Canis lupus familiaris: one gene and its partners. The protein of the gene in region 1 interacts with the protein of each later gene in a biochemical or structural test. Links are inferred from orthologs where the notes say so. Each region holds a gene or a part of one and is shown on either strand. Other genes may lie near its edges.

Region 1 (4,502 bases):
AAGAACAATACTATTTGGGACATATAGGCACCTGGCCCTAATCTGCTGTGCTAACCTAGCAGCCAACTGCAAAATAAACTTCAAACACCAAGTTTAAAACTTAGGTTTGTGAAACCTATTCAAGTTACTAAAATAGAGAAACAGTACTAACACATATTTATTGGGTTACAAGCATCTTTTCAGTTTTACTGGATAATGTGGGTGCTTAATAAAATCCAAAAATTATGGCATGCCTGAAAAAAAATTAAAGACCTGTATCATTTGCTTGTTGCTATTTTGGAATCAATAAATACTCCAGCAATATAAAAGCACATTTCCCATTCGTTTGTCAACTCAGGTTGCTTGAGCTCAGGTCAACTCAGGTGGCCTCTACCTATGGCTCCGCAGGTGTGAATGACAGACATTCCATGAGCAACTTTTGATAAAGAGGTAACTGCTGTGGAGTGGAGCTCTGGACTCCTGCTGGTCTTTTGTCAGGCAAACAGAGGATTGGATTCTTCACCTGAAAAACCACTAAGGAAGGCCAGACACACAGCTTTTAAAACGGATGTTTTACGCTCTCTCACAGGATGACAGTTAAAATATACTGATCCTCTTTCCCTCATTTCAAATTCCATCAGTGCTGTTAATCAGTCCATTTCATGCCCCTTTCCTCCTCTTTTCTATACATCACTGGGTCTCAAAGTGTTGTCCCAGGTCAGCATCACCTGGGAACTATTAGAAATGCAAATCATCAGGCTTCACTCCAGCCTTCAGGAATCAGAAACTCTGGGAGACAAGGTTGGGCAATGGCTATAACCCCCACCCCCCAAGTGATTCTAACGTACCCCTCAAGTTTGAGAACCAATGACTGTAGGCTAGTGTTACTTCTATACCACAAATGGATTGTTTTTTACTGAACACAAAAGTGTACAGTAGTAAACCGAGTCCTCTGCGCACTTGGGAGAAATTCTCATCTGATCCTCAAACCTGATGCAAGGTAGACATTATCCCCACTTTAAGAATGAAGAACCTGGCTCAAGGTCCCGAAACTAATAACTGCAGGTGGAAGATTAAAGTTTTTGCAGTTCTTGTCACTATTAAAAGAAAAGTGTGTCACACTTTATTAACAAAGTCTATATCTTTTTTTTTTTTTTCAAAGTCTTATCTTTTGCCCTGAAAGCTTTCGGTAATTGGGAAAAAGGGGGAGGGGGGGGGGAGAGAGGAGAGGCTGTCCAGGAAGGGTTCCATCAATGGTGAGCACCAGCCTCAATGCAGAAGCGCTCCAGTATCTCCAAGGATACATTCAGGCGGCCAGTGTGACACTGCTTTGAACAGCACTTTCCAGATTGGCTAAGCCCACGATGGTTTCTGAGGAAATCACATAGATATCTGAGCATTAAAGCATTAAAGCAAGTTTTCCTTTTGAACTTGTCACAAATTCCATCTTGTAAAGAATATTAAATGTTGCTTTAAGCTTTTCCTTGGAAGGGAAGGGAAGGGAAGGGAAGGGAAGGGAAGGGAAAAGGTAAGGGAAGGAAAAGGAAGGGAAGGAAAGAAGTGAAAGGCACTGACACTGTCAGACGTCCATTCATTCCCACGACCCCATCCCTCCACTTCCGTTCCGTTCTGTCCGTCATCGCCGTCCTTCCTCCGGCCTCACTCCGTCCTTCCTTTCCCCCCCACTCTCCTTTTCCTTTTCCCTCCCCCTCCCTCCCTTTCCTCTGTCCCTCCCTCCCTCCCTCCCTCCCTCACTCCCTCCCTCCCTCCTCCTCCTCCCTCCCTCCCTCCCTCCCTCCCTCCCCTTTCCTTCCCCTCTCCCCTCCCCTTTTCCTGCCCCCCCCCCCTACGAAAATGCGATCCCTAAAAACACGACAAAGGACTGAAGAGAAAAGGGACGAGATGGGTGAGAGCAGTGTGCCAGCTGGCTCGGATCCTACCAAATCGGAGTTTAAGGGCACGACTCTGGGAAGGTATTTTTCCAATAAAGAGCATTTATTCCGCTTGGGTCCCTCCTGCTTGGGCTCCCGGGCCCGGGGCGCGCAGGGCGAGCCCGCCCACCTCCCCGCTCACCTCCCCGCCCACCTCCCCGCCGCTGGGCATCCCCGCGGCAACAGGTGGTCCGCGCGGGGGGGGGGGGGGGCGGCGAGGCCCGGGTCTACCCGGGGACCTGGCACAGCCCGGAGCCTGGGGAAGCGCCTAACCCGACGCCGCAGCTCCGGCGAGGAGGGGGCGAGCGGTGAACCCGAAACCGCGAGGGCCGCGCGGAAAGGAACCACACGTCCCGCTGCGGTCGGAGGGAAGGGAAGGAAGCGGCGGGAATGGGGCGGCGGGGGGACCGCAGGGAGCGCGGGGAAGGGCGGGCCGGCACTCACCGTGGGGATCGCTCTTCTCCCGGACCCCGTCCACCCGGCCGTCGGGGTGGATCCGCAGGAAGAAGCCCCCGTTTTTGCAGTACAGCCTCTTGGGGTCCTTGAAGTGGCCGGGCGGGAAGGCGCCGCTGCCGCCGTCCTCCGGCAGGGCGGGCAGCGTGGTGATGCTCCCGGCTGCCATGGCGCCCCCGGGGCTCTGCCGGGGTGTCCGCGCCCCCGGAGCCGCGCGAGGAGCCGCCGCCGCCCCCCGGCCCCGGCCCCCGACCCGGTCCGGGGCGCGGCCACGGCCCCGGCCCCCCAGCCTCCCGCCCGGCAGCGCGCGGCCGCGCCCGCGGGCCCCCAGCCTCGCGCCGCCCGGCCGCTCCCCTCGCCGGCTGCCCTGGGGAGCTGCGCGCGGGCCGGGATGCTGCGCTCGGGCTCGGGCTCGGGCTCGGGGAGCTGCGCCCGGGGCCGGGGAGCTGAGCACGGTCTCGAGGCCGGGGAGCTGCGCTCGGGCTCGGGGAGCTGCGCTCGGGGCCGGGGCCGGGGCCGGGCGTGTCCGCGGCCGCCGCTCGCGGGAGGGCCGCCTCCCCTAGCGCAGCGCCGGCACCAGCAGCCAGCCCCGGGCACCGCGTCGGCCGTCTGGCAGCGGCCGGGCCGCGGCGTCACATCTTCTACATCCCCACCCCCGAAGGCCCCCCGCCCCCCCGCGCCCCCGCTCTCCTCCCTTCCTGCGCGCCGCCCCCTCCTCGCTCCGGGCTCCGTGGGGCCGGCCTCTGGGTCGGGAGCCGCGGCCGCAGCACGCAAGCGCGCGACAGGAGGGGTGGGGGGGGCGAGCGCAGGGGGCGGGGAGGTGCGGAGGGCGAGCGGGGGGGCGGCCGCGGAGGCCGCCGCGGCTCTGGGACTCGACCCCGCGAAATTCCCCCGAGGTCGCGCCAGCCGGGGCGCACGGGGTCCGTCTCCGCGCTGCGGAGCTTTGGCTGTGCCACCCGCCGTGACTCTACTTTGAAACGTTTAAAGGCAACTTTCTCCCCCCCCCTTCTTTTTCCTTGTCAGCGATTCAAAGCCAAGAAACGATTTCCACTCCCCCCCCCCCGAAGTAAAGGAATCGGAAATGGGGGGGGGGTGATTCTGTGCCCCGTGTGGGTTTTGAACACCTCTGATCTCCAGAAGGGGCCTGCGTGGGGCGCACACCGGTAAACTTGAAGGCGAGGCTGAAATCTTTGACTAACAAAAGGAAAGAAAGAGGCCAGAGGAGGGGAGCAGACCGCATTGCTGGGAGTAAAAGGTTTTCCTTCTACCACCCTGGCTTGAAGTAGACGACGTGGAAAGACGAGGAGAGGCCTCAACCCCTTCTGTGATGGAAGGGTGCTGCTGTCTTACTCCGAAGCTGGCACTAGCCTTGGCGAAATGGCTAGGTGTTCCTAGGAGGGAGGGTAGTTTTCTGAGAATCCCAAACTACAAAATTGAAGTTAATTGGATTTGGGTAATTTTCAGTAGAATAGAACAAGTACTACGGATTAGTCAAATATTCATCCAGAAAGTTTCTTAGTCTCAAGTGTCTACTATATGCAAAGCATTTGCCTAAGTTCAGTGGGAGGTGCTGGATCCCACAGGACCTCCGGACAGAGGTGCGATCCATGGGCAGGATGAACACCACAAAATGCCCCTAGAAGAGTAAAATGAGGTGGTGGTGTAAGATGTCAGACAAGGGGTAATTCAGTTTTGGGGGTACAATGGGATTAGAGAAAGCCTCTAGGAATATGTGAGAATACCTCTATTTAGAAAGATGTTTGGTTTCAAAAGATCAGCGCATCAAAAGTATCTGCTCTAAGTCTCCATGAGAGGTTTAATGCATGTAGAGTAAATCTACATGCATTTCTATGTTGGTAAATAGAAGACTGGAGCTTTAAAACCAAGCATACTCTTCTCTGGGCTGGTATATGTTCTCTGACCTCTCCAAAATGGACCGGTTTTATCTGCACTGCTTATCTGTTAAAACAAATAATCCCTTCCAGGGATCCCTGGGTGGCTCAACGGTTTAGCGCCTGCCTTTGGCCCAGGGCACGATCCTGGAGTCGCAGGATCGAGTCGCGCCTCACGCCTGCTTCTCCCTTCTCCTGTGTCTTTGTCTCTCTCTCTATATATATATTATAAATAAATAAATCTGAA
Region 2 (5,158 bases), on another chromosome or scaffold:
AGAGGTGCTGAACGGAAGCCCTTCTAGGTGTCTCTGGGAAATGTGCCAAAGCCTTTCATAGGTGAGCTCTGCTTTGTGATAACCTCATAGGCGTAGGAGAGATGAGAAAAAGAATTGTTTTTTTTTTTTTTAATCTAAACGAGGGCTAGCTATTCACTTTATAACAAACTAAAGATTTATTATAAAATAGCTCTGGCATGCAGGCGTCCAGAGCATTTAAAGACCAACCGGTGAGTGAATATACAGACCTTGGAGGCACCCAGCGTCCGTGCAGAGCGTGTTCAACTACGCTAAATGCCTGCAAGTGACTGGGGGGCTACGCTCGGCCCTAAAAAAAACCAAATAGCTGTGGACCTAGAAATAGTCAAAGAAATATTGAGTTTCAAAAAATCGTATCAAAGCACCTACAATACTAAAGCACAAATTGGTCCCGTCACGTTTTTGGTATTCTCTTTTTCACTGAAGAATTTGAATTTTTGAAGATTTTTAAGATTCATTCTTAATGAGACAATCTTTCTTCAAATGAAATCAGTACTTTCTTTTTTTTTTTTTTTCTGTGTTAATTAAGTGAAACAAAGATCACGGAGCAAAAGATCACCATATGCATAACCATTTGAGATATTATTCTCTGTAAAGTCCCAGTAAAGGAGTGTTCAAGAGGGGGCCTACTGCAGTCTAATTAACTGATTTCCTGTTTAAATAAACCCAGGCAGGCAGGATTGCATTCCAAAGCATTCCTTGATGGCCTCTCAGAGACTCAGCCTCCCCTGCAGGCTGCACTGGCTGTGTGAGTTACTGGAGTGGAATTTCGTGTTCACAGGTTTTTTTGTGGCTTTTTTTTTTTTTTTTTTTTTTTGGTGGGGACCAGTGATTGAAGCTCTTGATATCTCTTTAAAATGTCAGAAACTCTCTCATGAAATGGCTTTTAACTAATAGGTTTTTCTGATTATATTATCAAAGACCAAACAAAATTAAAACCAGGTTCTTAGGAGGCCGACAACAGAATAATTAGGAATCCCCGAGGAACCAAGCTGGCAGGAAACCAAGAGAGGGGAAATAAAACCATGTGGGTAGAAGTACTATTGGATGGAATAAGGAATTAGCATTCTAGAATTCAGAAATACATCCCTGTCTGCTCTAACCAGTGTACAGAGGTGAGTGAAAACTGGCGTTAATTCTTCAGTTTGGGGAGGGGGGGTGCATCATAGGTACAATCACTTTAATATGCTTTGCCAAAGACAAGAAATGTCACCCACTAGAATAGCCACAGAATTATGTTTTGTCTCCTTGTCACTTACACTGAGGAGCTAATCGTGTATTTGGTTTTATGCTTTTCCAGTCTCCGAAACTGTACTGAATAGTCCAGAAAATCTGCTCAGCATTGATAAAGTCCTCCAATACTTAGGAACGACTGACACCCTGCTATGGTTTCTGCAACTTTAAATGAAACATGCTCCCCCACATGCTTACCATTAGGATCCTTGCCCCCCAACAGCTGAGCTGCTTTATGGCCACTCTAAGGAGGGCGGCGCTGCTTGTAAGTCATCCTCCTCTGTTCCCGACGTTCTCAGGCACAGGAAAGCTGTTGTTTTCATACCTAAGTCCCTGATTTTCCCATATGGCCCAACAAAGGATTCCTGCGCCGCTATCTCTTAGAGATTTTGGCCTCCACAAAGGAGTGTTCTTTGGCTCCAAATCTCCTTTCTTTGACCCACCTTTCAAACGTGTTATTTCGGGCCCACATGTGTTTTTTGGAGATCCCTGTAGGATGGCAGGGGAGGAGGGGGGGCGACTTCAAGAAGTCCTATCTGGTTTGAACCGCCTCTCTCCTGTTTGCACCCCCATCCCTGCAAGTCCCTGGGGAGAGGAGGGTTCCCAGTGTGCTCCCGCAGCAGCCCATCTCACTGCGCATGTAGGGCTCCCCCGAACCTCCGGGACTTGAGGGGCCCCCTCGGGGCTGGTCAATCCCACAGGCCCCTTTTGGGGGGAGGCAATCCCGCTAAGCCCTTCAGGGGTCAGGTTCAGTCTCAAGCCTCAGGCTCAGAACCCGCACGCAGGGAGGAGGCAGGGGAGGGGGGGGCGGCCCAGGAAAGGTTCCCTAAAACGCAGGCTGGGCCCCGAAATAGCGCGGGGACCAGAGCCCCCCGAAACCTGGAGGGAGTGGAGAGCCCCGACGGAGCGGCCCCGGGCTCCGCCTTCTGCAGCGCGTTTTGGCGCCGCGCGGGGCGTGCGCAGGTGCGCGCAGGTGCTCGCAGGTGAGCGCAGGTGCGCGCAGGTGCCCCCCGCCCCCCGGGCCGCGCGCTCCCCGTGCTCACCTGCCGGCAGCCAGCGCCCGGCCGCCCAGCCCCGCACGGCGCGGAGGTCGGCCCGCGTGCGCCGCAGCTCCTCCAGCACCGCGCCCAGGGCGCGCCCCGGCTCCGGGCCCTCGGTCGGCGGCGCGCACGGCGTCCCCAGGCGGCCCAGCTCGGCGCGCAGCGAGCGCAGCTCTGCCCGGAGCACGGCGTCGGCGGCCTGCAGCATTGTGCCCTCCCGCGCGCGCCAGTCCTCCAGCATGATGAACAGCTTGTCCCAGCGGCTGAGCTCCGGGCGGCAGGCGCACGGCGGGGCTGCGGCGGGGACACGCGCGTCACCGCCCGCCGGTCCTCGCAGCCGTCCTCGTGGGCCTCGTGGGACCCGCGGAGCCCTGGGGCGCGGCCCAGGTGACCCCGAGCCCCCCCGACCCCGGGCTCCTGCTGCGACCCCCCCGACCTCCCCAGCAGCCCGTCCTCGTGGGGACCCGGCGGGAGCCTTTGGGGTGCGCGGCCGAGGTGACCCCGAGCCCCCCCGGCCCCCGGGCTCCTGCTGCGACACCTCCCCCGACCTCCCCAGCAGCTCGTCCTCGTGGGGACCCGGCGGGAGCCTTTGGGGTGCGCGGCCGAGGTGACCCCGAGGCTCCCCAGGGCTCCTGCTGCGAGCTCCGCCGCCCCCCGACCTCCCCAGCAGCCCGTCCTCGTGGGCCCCGCGGAGCCCTGGGGCGCGGCCGAGGTGACCCCGAGCCCCCCCCGACTTACGGTCCTCCGTGGGCTGCAGGCCGTGGTCGATCTCGTTGTCCAGGTCCACGTACATGAGCTCGTAGTCCCCCGGGCCCTCCGGCGACAGCGCGGAGCAGAGCGCGCACAGCAGCACCGCGGGGAGACGCATCGCCGCCGCCGGGGGACGCGAGGGGAGGGAGCGGGCGGGCACCGGGCACCGGGCGGACACCGGCGGACACCGGCGGCCGGCCCCGCGCCCCTAATAAGCGCCGGCAGCGCCTGCGGGGAGCCGGGGGTCAGCGCCGTCCCGGGGCCCCCCCGAAGCGGGGCGGGGGCGGGCGGGGGCGCGGGGGCGGGCGACCCGGGCCGGCACGTTGCACAAGAGCAGCCCGCCGGGGGCTATGCTGCAGCCAGATTAGCGGGAGGAGGGTCAGAGGGGAAAGAGGTGGGGAAACTGGGCCGGGACCGTCCCCACGAGGGCTGGAGGGGGGCGGGGAGCAGGCCTGGCCGTGCCCCCTCTGCGCCCCGCTCCCGCGCCGCAGCCCTTGGGGGAGCCTCGCCCCTTCCCGCGCGCGGCCTCCCGGGGCGGAGCGGGGCTGCTGCGAGCTGATGCCCAGGGGGACCGGCGTGCGCGGGAGGATGCGGGTGCTGGGGGCGGGCCCGGGCCCAGCCCCAGCCCAGCCCCAGCCCCAGCCCCAGCCCAGCCCCAGCATCTGGGTCCCCCTGCAGGCGCGAGCCCGCTCGCAGGCTCCCCGCAGGGAGGGGCTCACCCACCCGCAAACCTCGAGGAGGACGGCACCGGGGGAGAGGGAAGCGCTGACTTTAGGAACGTTGCTCTTCCTGAGCTGCTGTGAGGTGGAAATTGTATCATCCCACTGGAGATCACGCTCCTAAAGTAAGTTTAGGAGGAACCTCCACGCAGGTTTCCAGAGTGACTGCACCAGGTCACATTCCCACCAACAGTGCAGGAGTAAAAATAAGTAAATAAATAAATTAATTAATAAACAAATAAATAAATATAAATAAATAATATAAATAAATTTAAATAAATAAATAATAAAATAAGTTTAGGGATTCCTGCTTCCTTCGAAATGTGAAGGCCCAAATAAGCTGAAAACTCTCCTGCACAAAACACCTAGGAATGCATTTACATTATGATGACTTTTAAAAATTTTTTTTGCAATAATTAAATAGGGTTTTACTTTATTTATTTTGTTTGTTCCTTTTTAAATAATTTTACTTGTGTTCAATTTGTCAACGTACAGAATAACACCCAGTGCTCATCTCAAGTGCCGACTTTTTAATTTTTAAAGATTTTATTTATTTATTTATTTATACATGAGAGAGACGACAGAGACAGGCGGAGGGAGAAGCAGGCTCCATGCAGGCAGCCCGATACAGGACTCGATCCTCCGACCCGGGGTCACGCCCTGGGCCAAAGCCAGATGCTCAACCGCTGAGCCACCCAGTGATCCCACTATAATGAAAACTTTAAATGTACAGATGAGCTACAGATAATGTAAGGGAAACCTCCAGGAGCCAAAGAAAGAGGTGTGGGGGGTGGGGATCCAAGACCAACCCTGTAAGCCTGAGAGCTGATGCTAGCCACCCCACCTCCCAAATAAAGGGAGGTAGGGGTCATAGTTTTGTAGCAATCCAGTGCTAAAACAGTGCCCTCGGGAAGATCTCCCATTCCTGAGTCAAGAAATAGGTATAAAAATTACAGCATCCTACAGCACTATTGGTAAAAGCTAAGCATCATCATCATCATCATCATCATCATGTCTTTCAACCATAGAGTGTATGAATAAATTGTTGCCTGCTTACACGATAGAATGCCATACAACTGTGAGAGTAAGCGATGGAGAGCTTCCTGGAGCTAAAACTTCAACACAGTGCTGAATGTAAAAAAAAATTAAATATTGCAAAGACATTTGCATAGTATGAATACCACTGACAAAAAATTTTAAAGCCTGCAAAACAACACTATAAAATGTTTGTTGGTCTATACACGTGCAACTGAAATGTAAAAAAACATTCATGAAGATGATAAACACCGACTTTAGGATGGTGGTTGCCCTAGGGGAGAAAAAGGAAATGAGTGGGATAGGAAGTGATTCTGGCACCAAGTGGCTTTGGAGGGCACG
Region 3 (5,015 bases), on another chromosome or scaffold:
TCAGGGATCCTAATTATTACGGCACAGTAAGCAACAAGCACCACAGACCAGTGGATGAAAGGATAAAGGTAAAGATTCTGGAATGGGTCACATTTGGAAATGACGTAGGATGGGTAGGGAACAAAAAGTCATTACTTACATATTTTTCCCACTGATATATGGGGACTGTTTATGAGTTCATTGAAAGTATACATAAAGAAACAAAAAATGGTTGAACATATTTCTGAAAAACACCCAGAGCTTTATTAACTTTGTTAGTTTAGCAGAAAGTGCAATGCACTGGAATCATCATTCTGGTTCATTTAGATCAAAGAATGTATACTGCTTATATACACATAGCTTTGTCAGCCGTAGAAACATATGCTGAGGTAAACAACCTCTGAAAATAAAATTTAAGGAAATGAATATAAAGTAAACTCCAAAACACAAAAACAAAAGTTATAAAACCCATTTAAATATTCCACTGCACTCTCATAGCACAAATGTTCATCTTATTCAGAGCACTGTACCACATACTGAAGGGCTTTGACATAAAACCTCCTAAAGAACTTTGTTCTCTTTTGATCTCATTAGCATGAATTCCCCTGGACCATGGTGATGAAGAATTTGCAGAGAGACCCCCAGGATTCCCCACAGTAGTCCAGGGCTATCTTTGACTGCTTTATTAAGTCCGGATCTTCCTCACACTTGGGGTCTTTGGTGGCTATGGTCTGGGTCTCCACTGAGCCAGAAGGGATGTTCTCTTTGACCTTTATCTGCTCCTTAGGGAATAACTCTTTGACCTTGTTAGGTTCCACCAGGGAGGCCTTACTGACTTTGCTCTGCTCCCTGGGAGAGGGCTCTGTTAATTCCTGGCTGGGTTTCTTGGTCCAAATCAGAGTGGAGTTCACCAGCTTGAGATTAGACTCTGGAAACTTCTTTCTGCACACCTTGGTTTTCAGGATGGTTTTGGCATCCCCACAGATGACCTTTTGAGAACGCAGGTTCCGGCCAATTTGTTTCCAATAGACATTCTTTTTGTTTGACTCTAGGCAGAAAGTTGGATTGCCAGTAAAGACACAGGAAAACTTGTTATCCTGTCGAGTACACTCAACCTTCAGGGCGATACCCTCTTCTTGCTCAGTCACCACCCATCTGCAGTTGGCATGGTCTCGAGTGACAAATTTGCCTTTGGTCAGTTGCTTGTGTGGCTCAGTATGGGTCTCTCCCAGAGCACGCAATTTATCTCTGGTGCCTTTGCTGACATGTCTATTTTTTACTTCCTTTTTGCCCTTTACCAATGATACCTGAACAGCCAGAAGAAGGAAGGAGAGCAGGGTGAGGCTATGGATCCTCATGTCTTCAGCTTGGTGGGAACCTGTTTGACAAGAGCAGGTGAGTCAGTGCTGGGCAATAGTTCAGCAATACAGTGCTGCAGGATGACCCTCCCTATACCCTGACACATGCCTCCTTGCTTAGAAGTGAGATCAAGAATTCTTCTGGTTCCTGGAATTACTAGACTAGCGGCCTATCTATTCACATTTCTGCTTGACTTGAGTCCTGAATGTCAAAAACCTCCTACTCTTTCTCCATTCCTTCACCACTCTCTGAGCCAAATAAAGTCTCATCCCTCATTTACTACTCCTTTACCCCTGCATTCACTCACTCACTCACTCACTCACTCACTCACTCCTTCATTTACTCATTAAACAAGCATTTATGGAGCATCTGCTATATACCATGCCTCAGACTAGATGTTGGCTTTATTAATGTGAATGAGTAGGTCACATCTTAAAGAGATTAGAAGCAAATTTTTGAACAATATAAATAGCATTGACAAGGAGTCTGTCCCAATCCTGTCCCCAACTTGATCTTGGCCAAGTCACTTTCCCCTCTGGTCTCAGTTCCTCTGGATACTGAGGTTTTAGGTGTGATCATTCCCAAAGTCTCCTCTGGCTCCATGTGATAGATTTCTAACCTAGTTCTACATGGACTCAGGTGACCACACAACAAGAATGGACATGGCAAATGACATGAAGGATGACGTTTGATCCGACATTCAACATGTGTGGGATTTGGACACTCTGACATAGATGGGTTTGTGAGGGGGGCATTTAGGGTGCAATAAAAGCATAAGGAAAGGCATGAAGGAGGGGAGGTCATACCATTTGACTACGCAAAGTGAACCAGCCTGGATGGGGTGAATTTTTACCACAACATTTAGATTAGGAAGTTGAAGGGAAGGATGATACCTAAATGATTTCTGGAGCCCTGGGTGGCACAGTGCTGGGCATATAGAAAGCACTCAACCAATGCTTTTAAAAATAAATCACTGCATGGGTGCCTCGGTGGCTCAGTCCATTAAGCATCTGCCTTTGGCTCAGGTCATGGTCTTGGGATCCTGGATCCAGCCCCCATCAGGCTCTCTGCTCAGTGGAGAGTCTGCTTCTCCTTCTGGCTCTGCTACTCCCCACCGCTTGTGCGCGCTCTCTCTCTCTCTCTCATGCATACATGCTCTCTCTCTCTCTCAAATAAACAAATAAAATCTTAAAAAAAAAAAAAAAAAAAGCTGTGCTTGGTAAGTAAAAATAAATCACCCCAGGTAACAGATGTGAAAATTCAGGCTCATACTGTAAATAAATTGCTCAATATCCCTTATTGGGCAAGTGACAAACCTGGGAAAGGAGCCAGAACTTATCTCTTTGATCTTTTATACCACCAACCACCAAGTTTGCTCACTTATTGCGTTTCAGCTTTACTCTGTCCTTTGGAAAATACTGACAACAAATAAAGTTACAAACTACTCAGGGTTTCATTTGGTATAATTCATGATAAGATGATTCATACTGTCAGTGCCCCACTTAAAAAGAAAATATAGATTTTGCTTGTATATGGGGCAGGCCCAGAAAATGGTCCAGGTCTTATTTCCACCTTGGGCTTGTGGCCTCTCCTCAGAATTGAGAAAGAGAGACAGTCACAGGTATGTGGGCTCCTGAATGAAGCATGGACAGGTGCCTAGGCATGCCATGTGAAGACCCACTTTTTCATCAGGGCATTGAGACTCAGCCCCCATGTGTCCCTGATAAGATCCATAACCCAGGATCCTGAGGTCCTCAGGGAAGTGAAAAGAAAGGTGGGGACTGAAACTCTTAAAAGAGCCAGACTCTTACCTTGTTCTGAGTATGCAGATCCAGTGTAATCCCAGATGTGAGAGTGAGCTTGCAGGCTTACAGCTGTCTCATCTGCCGTGCCAGGCAGGGAAGGCTCTTTTTATTGAAGACCGACAGGATTTTACAACACACACACACACACACACACACCTGTCTATCTTTATCACACTCCTCCCAGCCACGCCCCTTGGGAGGGAGCCAGTTCCTGCAGGGAAAGTGGTTGGTGTAATGGTGTAATCCTGTGGGAGGGAGGTACTGCAGGACATTAGACCTGCTTCCTCCAAGACCTTCCCTTTCCCCCAGGGGCCGGGATAGGCGAGCAGTTCAGCCTTGCAAAGTCCCTCCTAATGGGATGAGGACTGTGGCAGCAAAATCCGTGGAGAATTATAAACAATAACAAAACTATCATAGCTGCCAAGCCCTAGTGTTGCCCATTTTACCTAACGTGGTCCTTGAATTCCCATAATATCCACCCCATGATATGGTAACAAGGATTCCTATTATTTTACAGATGGAAAATTGGAGCGTATTGATATTCAGGGCTTGTCCAAGGTCACAGAGATGGTAGGATGAGAAGCCCAGAATTGAGCACTGGGACTCCCCACATGCACTGTCTGATCTTTCCCACTGTCTCAAGAAAATGTTTGTGAATGATTGACTGAAACTGGAAAAGCCATCCCAGTTTCTAAGTCCGTTTTCACAGAAGCACCTGAAATTACCATAGGGGCAAAGGAATCTATGGTTTTGAAAGGCTGGTTAAAAGTGGTCTGGGGATTTCTGCTGTAAATATTCACTTTCAGGTCACACAGACAGACTTCCCTTTGGTCAGTGTTCTATAGGGAGAGTCTTACACTAGAATGATCTATGTGGAATCCTGGAGATAGTATTCTTTTGGCTGTGTGACCTTCTCCAACCAGTTAACCTCTCTGAACCTCCATTTGTTCATCTATAGATTGCTGACAATAGCAGTACTTTATTTTGGGCTCACATTAAATATTTTATGGGGCTAAGCTATTCACATAAAATGAAGCAGAACAGATTTGGCTCAAACTGGGGTTTCAAGGTGTATTTGTTAAAAACAGACATACTTAGTTTTCACAAACATATTGAAGGAGACTCATTTCACAAAGATGTGGATCTCACTACATTTTGTCACCTCACCTTTCATGATTTTTGGACTCAAGAAATCATTCATTTTCTATTTAACTCAGGTTTGAAGAAACAATAACACCAGAGTGATAGTAAATGCCAACTGACCCTTGTCTTTGGGGGTCAGGGACAAAAGGAATGATGGGGATTGTGGCAAACTGGGTAGTCCTGATATCTAAGTGTCAACATCCAGCATTGATTGACTGAGAGAATGTTGGCATAGGGGTCAGTATTTTCAGAACTCATGAACTCTTTTCACATATACATTAGTAAAAATAAATGTGGAGACTTCATGTACTTTTAAAAAAATAGATTAACATCCAGATGTGTGGATATGAAATTGGGTTGGTATCTAATAGAGATTTTCTAAAAACAGTGTCCTGGCTCACAATAAAGATGCAAAAGTCCTAACTATGGTTGGCTTTCATCCAAGAGCTACCTATTTGGGAATTTCAAGGTCACAGAGGTATGGATATTGATCAATTCACTCAGTGGTTTAAAGAGTTTCTTCATGAATTGTATTGGAGGTGGCTATTTCCCCCTCGTCCCCATTGTCCTGAACACCTTATTGAACCATGACCTGATGTTTTAGTGGATGATTATCTGGACATAGGCAAAATAAAACCGCTTTGTTTCCCAGAAAGCAATAGACCATAGTGATCTTCTGCAAAATGAGAAATTCATCTTGACCCTTAAGAGGCAGTCGGGTTCTTTCTG

Evidence for each region.
Region 2: the proteins of FGF2 (region 1) and PTX3 form a complex in vitro, tested with the Homo sapiens proteins (3 studies listed by BioGRID and IntAct, with this or other methods). The link is inferred for Canis lupus familiaris from reciprocal best matches to the Homo sapiens genes FGF2 and PTX3.
Region 3: the proteins of FGF2 (region 1) and FGFBP1 form a complex in vitro, tested with the Homo sapiens proteins (2 studies listed by BioGRID and IntAct, with this or other methods). The link is inferred for Canis lupus familiaris from reciprocal best matches to the Homo sapiens genes FGF2 and FGFBP1.

Annotation. Positions count from the first base shown.
Region 1 is NC_049240.1:18,279,951-18,284,452, forward strand, and holds part of FGF2 (fibroblast growth factor 2), read right to left. Parts: intron 2,923-4,502; coding exon 2,355-2,922; intron 1-2,354. UniProt on the Homo sapiens protein: Acts as a ligand for FGFR1, FGFR2, FGFR3 and FGFR4. Also acts as an integrin ligand which is required for FGF2 signaling. Binds to integrin ITGAV:ITGB3.
Region 2 is NC_049244.1:51,505,693-51,510,850, reverse strand, and holds the start of PTX3 (pentraxin-related protein PTX3), read right to left. Parts: upstream 3,268-5,158; 5' UTR 3,181-3,267; coding exon 3,051-3,180; intron 2,607-3,050; coding exon 2,316-2,606; intron 1-2,315.
Region 3 is NC_049224.1:64,978,048-64,983,062, reverse strand, and holds FGFBP1 (fibroblast growth factor-binding protein 1), read right to left. Parts: upstream 3,302-5,015; 5' UTR 3,150-3,301; intron 1,358-3,149; 5' UTR 1,338-1,357; coding exon 570-1,337; 3' UTR 215-569; downstream 1-214.